Linked DNA regions of Tamandua tetradactyla. The protein of the gene in region 1 purifies or fractionates together with the protein of each later gene. This does not show direct contact. Links are inferred from orthologs where the notes say so. Each region holds a gene or a part of one and is shown in the gene's direction. Other genes may lie near its edges. The genes, in order: SMARCA1 and POLE3.

What was found.
Region 2: the proteins of SMARCA1 (region 1) and POLE3 purify together in Homo sapiens (affinity purification with mass spectrometry; 3 studies listed by BioGRID and IntAct, with this or other methods). This does not show direct contact. The link is inferred for Tamandua tetradactyla from reciprocal best matches to the Homo sapiens genes SMARCA1 and POLE3.

What each region holds. Positions count from the first base shown.
Region 1 is NC_135353.1:34,167,485-34,171,398, forward strand, and holds the start of SMARCA1 (SWI/SNF-related matrix-associated actin-dependent regulator of chromatin subfamily A member 1), read left to right. Parts: upstream 1-1,196; 5' UTR 1,197-1,390; coding exon 1,391-1,564; intron 1,565-3,914.
Region 2 is NC_135328.1:33,732,671-33,736,584, forward strand, and holds POLE3 (DNA polymerase epsilon subunit 3), read left to right. Parts: upstream 1-1,049; 5' UTR 1,050-1,181; coding exon 1,182-1,247; intron 1,248-1,332; coding exon 1,333-1,418; intron 1,419-1,753; coding exon 1,754-1,872; intron 1,873-2,144; coding exon 2,145-2,317; 3' UTR 2,318-3,748; downstream 3,749-3,914. UniProt on the Homo sapiens protein: Accessory component of the DNA polymerase epsilon complex. Participates in DNA repair and in chromosomal DNA replication.

The sequences.
Region 1 (3,914 bases):
TAGGTTTTTGCATATTAGGGATGCACAATTGTAAAGCAAAAAAGGAATTTAGGGTATTACCCCTAGGGAAAAAGGGATACATTTGGGGGGCAGTTGTGTGATTTCTTGCTGTTTGCAGCAATCACACATCATTTCAGACTGGTAATTTAGGGAAGTATGTTGAGGGAGTTTAATCATGGTTTTTTTTCACTTTGGAAAGTATTTGCTTCATTGTGGAAGTTGTGGATTTTGTAGTGATTGATTGGCATACTGTTTACTATATGTTTTATTATCTTTTGTCCTTAATGTCTGAAATTTGAAAGCTAGGATGTAAGTTTTCCCATTACAGATCAAAATAAATGGCAAGGAGATATAGTAATAATAATATTTAAAGCTATGTTCATGTAGTGTTGCACCTTTTACAAAATGCTTTCATATCTATGATCATATATATTATTGTTGAATTCCTACTAAATAATTACGGTGGTGCACATAGAACACGCAACCCTTCCAAAAGAATTACAGTAATTCAATCCAAATACAAGTTTTAGGTACTTATCATGTGCTATCCCAGATTCTGTGGGACTTTGCTCTTGGCCCCTAGGAGTTTTAAAATTCAGTGGTGAAGGCAAAAAAAAGGGCTTCTGCACCCTGGCCGTCCGAGGATACCAGAGTTTAAAATAAAACATACATACACACACACCCGCCCCCGACAGACGTCGCCTTGTAAGTGAATATTTGTAGCTGCAATCAAAAGATTCAAGGAATGGTTCTTTTGCAGAATTTAGGAAGGTGGGAATTGCACCACTCATCTCCGTTTAGGGACTAGGGAAAAGTCAGCCTCCAGAGGGGCTCTGAGTTTTGCAACTGGTGAGAAAACCTTTCACAGTACAGTTATAAGCAGAGGAAAAGTTCTTGGTAGCAGGGAGGGAGAACGCCTGGAGGTACAAAGAGCAGATTTGAGGGAAAGAGGATTCCTTTTGCATACATGTGCGAGGGGAGTTCAGCTGTCTGTTGGGGGCGTTTGGGAAAGAAGATTTTTAGGGGGTGGTGGGCTCTCGGTTCCCGCCTCCAACCCTGTCAGCGCAGCACACCACGCTCAGGCAACAGTTGGTTGAGCGGGGCCTGCCCGGGCTCTGGGTGGGGAGGGGGAGTCTCGCGATCGTTGAGGGGGGTGTGTGTGGAGGAAGGGGGGAGGGTGACGGGGGGGGGTAGGGCATGACGTATGGTGGGTGGACGGAAGTGGGGCAGGGTTGAGGGTTATTTAAAGAAGGGGGGTCGAGCAAAGGGGTTGGAAGCCGAGTGATTTGCCCAGTCCTGCTTCGTCTAGCGCTTTCCAGAGCAGCCACTGCCGCCGCCCAGGAGCCCTCGTCCCCTTCGCCGCCCCCCTCCCCGTCCCTGCTCCAGCGCCATGGAGCCGGACACCGCTGCTGTAGCAGCCACCGTGGCAACCGCTGATGCGACCGCCACAGTCGTGGGCAATGAGGACGAGCAGCCGAGGCCATCCACTTCTAAGGACGAGGGAGCGGTCGCCGCGGCCACCGAAGCCACCGCGTCCACTGAGAAGGGCGTGAAGAAGAAGGAGGTAAATAGGAAGGGGTGTGTGTTTGGTGAACAAATCCTGTGCCTGCCGCCTCCAAGGGGCCCAAATCCTGACCTTTCGGTGCCGACAGGTACCCGTGGAGCTCTCCCGGCCGGGGCCCGCGGGCCGGGTGGGCGCCGCGGCGGAACAGACTAGCGTTCGCTCCCTTCCCCCTTCCCTTCTCGCCGCTGGAGGGCGGGGGCGGGGTGCAGCGCCCGGTGGAGGGGCGCCCGTTATCCCGGGGCTTGGGGACTTGGGAGCCCCTGGACAGCCCCCAGACCCCTTCACATTCCCGCAACTGGGGTAACAGAGTGGGGGGGGATGGGGCTGTGCAGAAAAAAGCCTCCGCCTCCGCCTCGCCCTCTCAACTCGCTCGCTCCTTCTCCCCCCACCTTCCCGTCGGCCTCTGCCTGGGAAATCTCGGCCCTTCAATCCCACACTCGTGCAAAAAAAAAAAGGGGGGGGGGTGGTTTGCTGGGTCTTAATTTTTATTTGAATTTGAAGGTGTTGGTGGTTGGGGGAGGGGCGGAGGATAATAGGGAAGAAATGTATTTCTCGGATTGGCAATGTCGGCCCTTTGGATGGCAGAAAAAGAAAAAGAAAAAAAATCATCCCTTGTTCGTTCGGTCCCCGACGGCTGAGGCAGGGGTGTCACCCCAAGAAAACGAGTTCTCCGCGTTGTACTCTCCAAGCCAACCCCCAAACGGAGGAACCGTGGACGCTGGTTTAGGAAAATTTCCAATGTCTGCACCCCCACCCCCTCCTGCTCCGCCCCCAACGGTATAGTGTTTCACTCCAGGGCCACCCAAATGGTCTCCCAGTCGGGCCCCAAGTCTTCCAGGCCTCCGCCTCTCTCTCCTAGTGGGCGATGCTGGCTCGTGGACACACGCAGGACCCCCCCTCACCCCCTTTTTTTAACCAGGCGTCGCCAGGATGAGCTGCTGCTAACATAACTGGAGACCGCTCTGGCGCCTATTTAAAGCCAGATTCAGAAAACATGTATTATCTCTGTAATGTATATTCATATGAAATGCGTTGAAAATTGAGATTAAAAGAAAAAACATAGGATGGGGGCATATGGATTTTTGATGTATAAGTAGATTGTAGAATGGATCGTTTACGGGTGGATTTGTTTTCTATTTATGAGTTTGTTTTCCATTTATGAGTATATTGCAATAAAAATGGTAGGTAATTAAAATTATGCCTTAGAGATCGCAAGTGGCTTTGTCTGAATCATTAAATGCTATACAACCAAATGAAAAGCTTTTGAGGGAAATTAACACCTTTAGCCTTGAATTAGAAGAGTAATTTTAAATTCGGCGGTTGCTGAAGTGATATTTTTTACTGTTACAGGGTTGAGTAAACAGAAAAACAGTCGTGGTGCTAAGTGAACAACGTAGAAAACGTGCGTTTTTAGATTTGTGCGGTACTTCTATCAATAAGACAATGTTGATGATTGAAGCTGGGCCAGATACCACACATCAGTATAGATCAAATGTTGGGAAATTCAGAAATGCCTTTATTCTAAAGATGTCTTTTATTCATTCCCCAAACTGAACAAATGTCAAGTGCTAAGCTGTCTTTTCTGTGGTAGTAGAGGTTGTCGAATCTTCAGGTTGTATGCACATTTTCGAATTGTGAAAAGACTGGGAATCAATAAAAAAACTACTATATATATAATAAGCACTGAGATAATACAGATATTCATGAACTCTTGCAGCCTTCATCAGAAATTACCCTGATGGTACTTCATTTATCTACTCAGCATAGAGGAATGAGGTGTTGGAAGTTTACTATTTTAGGCCCAATATCTTTTTATTTTTAACTTTCTCCTTGAAAATCTAAATATATTGTATATTTCCTTGACTCCTTAAGTAGTGTACTAAAAGTACAGATTAACCTTTCCCTCATGACCATAAGTTGTTGCATTCGGACAATGATAAAAAGTTAACTGAGGACTAGGAGGTTTTTCCCCCTAAATTAACTAACCACCTCCCACACCGTTCTAGTATGGTATTGATTTTTAAATCGTTTTTCTGTCCCCTCCTTCAATTGTCAGGTTGTTGCTTTTGAAACACCTCACCTACTTTTATCAGAAATAATTTGTTAATATATGATAAGGGACATAGATGAAGCAAAACCATAAAATCATTTGAAACAGCAGAGAAATACATGAATTCAAAAGATGAAGCAGGAGAGGGAAATAATCAACACCTGAACCTGAACACTGAGGATTAGGGGATGCTATTATAGTGGAACACAGATTTCAGTACTGAGCTTTTGCCATTCCTTTTTCCCATTGACAAAGTGTGCCTTCTAGTAATCTCACCCACATAATTTGCTGTTGCTTTTA
Region 2 (3,914 bases), on another chromosome or scaffold:
AGCAATTTCAGTTGTCATTTATCATTGTGTTTGCTCTGCCGGTTTTCTCATAATAGGAAAACTCTCCTCTGTACCCTCGTCTCTGTCAAAAGCATAATAACAAAAAACCCGACTTGAGAGGATAGCATGCTTCACCAAATAATAATAAGCAAGCATTAGTTCTCACTGAGAGTGAGATCTATTTCTACGTTTTTTAACAGGAAACCTTAAATTTCATGTTTAAGAAAATTAAAGATAAAATTTAAACCGCCACTATAAAACCATGGTAATGTTCTTGACTGGGAAAATGTACGATGAACAATTTAATGTACTAAAGAACCAATACAATTTTAACAGGTTTTATTTTCGAATGCTAAATGCCATGTTGCATCTTCATCACACCCAGTTGCTTCACACCCTTTGGTTACCTGCCCACCCTGAACTGAGCCCCCGAGGTCTAACCATACCCATCTCTCTGCCATCAACACTAGCGCTGTGCCGACAAAGTGGTTGGCGCTCAGGAAAGCCTAGATAACAATGATCATTAATATGATTATTACAAAATTGCGCGAAGTGAAAAAATTAAAGATAAACGTCAGCTACGGTAAAGTTGGGAAAATACCCTCCGCTTCGTTTCGGGAAAAGGAAGCGGCCTTCGGAGGCCTGGCTCCGCTGGCCCAAAGCCGATGCCTAGCCGCTAAGAGCCCGAAACTCGGTGGAATAACGCAGTACGGCGCCGGGCGTGGGTAGGCCCCGCCCAGGAGGCTGGGTTCACAACTTTTCCTCCCGCGCCAGCCCCCCGGTCGGGCCGTCGCCAGGCAGCGGCGCGGAGAACTATGGGGAACGGACGGAAGCCTCAATGACCCATCCTCAATTTGGTGTGAAACCTCCAGACTCGGTGATGGTGTGAAACAGAGAAACAGAACAGGGGAGGAGGGCGCAGGGCACTATGGGGCCTGCCGGTAGGTCCGGCGAGCCCAAATGACTGCAGAGAGAAACTTTCGGAAGCTACGGCGACCTGACATGGAGGCGTGGCTGGGGTAAGTGGGTGGGTATGACGCGCAGAGCACTATGGGATACAATGTGGACCGTGTGGGGCGGAACGGAAGCCTGGGTGGGTCAGACAGCAGGGACGCGGGAAGCCTGGACGCAGTAGCACCCTGAGGAAAACTGAGGTGGAGGCGCGGGCCCCTGCGGCGGCCATGGCGGAGAGGCCTGAGGACCTAAACCTGCCCAACGCTGTCATCACCAGAATCATCAAGGAGGCGGTGAGCGGGCGGGCCGGGGCGGACGAGCGGGAAGGAGGGAAACAGGTCTGGGCTAGCATCTTTGCTCACTTCTCCCTTCTCACAGCTCCCGGAAGGTGTCAACATCTCCAAGGAGGCCCGGAGCGCCATCTCCCGCGCTGCCAGCGTCTTCGTACTATACGCCACGTCGTGGTGAGCAGAAAGAGCTAGCCAGAGTACAGCTAGTGCTGAGGCATTTAGGGAGATGCAGAGAGACCCCCCTGGCTCAGATTTAGCGTCCCGGCGCCCATAAACCCCAATGCTTGGGTGCTACCTGTGAACCTGGACAGAGGTTCACGACCCTTACCCAGTTCTCACAATCTCTTAAATAACTTCGCATTAGCCGTTTGGTACAGGGAAGGGAGAAACAAAAAGTCATGCATCTTTAACGTAGGTTTCCTCACTCACTTCAGGGTGCTCGTTTTCCACCCACTTCATGCGTGGCAAGAGGGGGTCTGACAGCTCATTTTCTTCCTGTCCTCCGTTAGTGCAAACAATTTTGCTATGAAAGGGAAGCGCAAGACACTGAACGCCAGTGACGTGCTCTCGGCCATGGAAGAGATGGAGTTCCAGCGGTTCATTACTCCCCTAAAAGAAGCTCTGGAAGGTAATGACCCTTCCTTTTTTCAGCCTCTTAGAAGATGATCATCCATGGCCCTGAGGCTTTCTCAGCAAGGGTACCTTTTAAGTCCAGCAAGGGAATACTGGATGTGACTTGGAACCAGTTCAGTTGGCACCATCTCAGATCTGTTTTGTGATGTTGGGCGGGTTATTTTTCCTTCAGTGCCTCAGCTTTTCCAGCTGTGGAATGGAGTTAGCAGCCGAAGTCTGGTTTACTCTTCCAAACCTACCTCTTAACCGCCTCCTTCCTCCTTGCAGCCTATAGGCGGGAACAGAAAGGCAAGAAGGAAGCTTCAGAGCAAAAGAAGAAGGACAGAGACAAAAAGACAGATTCAGAAGAGCAAGACAAGAGCAGGGATGAGGACAACGATGAAGATGAGGAAAGACTGGAAGAAGAAGAGCAGAATGAAGAGGAGGAGGTGGACAACTGAAAGGGGTGGGGAGATGGAGGCACCTTGGAAGGTACCATGCTGAAACTGTGGTACATGTTTATGTGAAGCTTCTCCCTGCTGGGCAGAGTACTCTTAGGCTGAAGTGCCTAAGAAAATTGAAATAAAACTGACTAGAATTATCATTAAAACCAGGGCTTCCTAGACTCAGAGCATCTTAGTATCAGAATCCTGTTTTGTTTAATCAGTCTGAAGGTTATGACTTTTTTGACAAGGGGAATTCTGACCAGCTAATTGAATTAGCCAATTTGATCTCTCATGTTTAGTTATATACATGGTTAGGCCATTTTTGATCCTCATTTCCTCCTCCAGAAACAAAGTAATGATAACTTCCTTGCTGCTTGCTGTGTTCCAAATCACAGAGGTAGTTGAAGCTCAGGAAATCTTTGGGCTTTGAGTATGATAAGCCTATGTTTGAGATACAGTATTTGGCAATACCAACTTATTAAGAGGGATCAGAATGGTGTGACTTTAGGAGACTAAAAAAAATGGGAGAAAAATGAAACTGGTTCTGTTGTTTCTTCATTTGACAGTAGCATTAGTTGATTCTTAGTTTCTACAGACTCACTTGGCTTGGAGCCTTTTTGCATTGCCTATAGGCATTCGACTTACTGGGTTGGCTGTACTCTGGACATATATGCTTTCAAATTAGCAGTATAGAGGATAATTAACCAAGCTAGGGTGCCAGTGTCTTATTCTTAGCACAATAGATGGCTTAGTTTAGGTTACACCTCACTGCCTGCCACTATACAACTTGAGGATTTCTCTTCACCACCTGGAAGGTGTAAAATTCCAGCCTTTCTCTTACAGTCTATTCCCAGACTTGTGACTATGCCTTTCATTCTTTAATTCATGACAAGTTCCAAACTTCATCTCCTCTAGGTACAACTTTCTTCCTCTGTTTCTTTTTTCTTTCTCTGTCTCTCTTTCTCTATCTCTCCTCCATTTACCATTTCCATGTTCTCTCTCCCTCCTTTTCTCGCATTTTCTCCAATTTTGGAACTTTGATAACCTGCTTAATATCCAGAAGTGCAGGTTCCTCTGATTCCTTAGTTCTAATTTCATGTCTTTTAAAAATGATTTTGTAAAACCTCTCTGAACCTTAAAGAAAATCTGATGGTGCTCAGGAATCTAATTCCCCCCCCTCAAAGCGTCTCCTTTTAACTACTTTTTTTTTCCTTTTAACTACTTTTAAAGTATCTCTGTTGGTCTTTCTTAGCTTTTTTCTCTTTCCCTTCAGTGCCCCAAGCACTTTTTTGTTTGTCTCTGACTTGAATGCTTAGAGTTTGATGGGTAGTGAAGTGTAGGTTGGCATTGTTAAATGAATATAGTAAAAGGTTTCTTGATAAATGAGTGAAGAGTCTTGAAAAAATTATAATGCATTGTATAAATAAAATAAGGTTCTTATTAAAAGTAATGACTTCTGTTTCATCCTGCTTGTTTTTCAAAGTGTGCTTTTGGCAACCCACTGAACATGCCACATACAGTTCTGGCATGTGGGCTGGGTCAGACCTTTGTAAACATGGGATCCTGCATCACCTTCAATGACCAGCAGATGCTGCTCTTTCGTAGGCAAGGG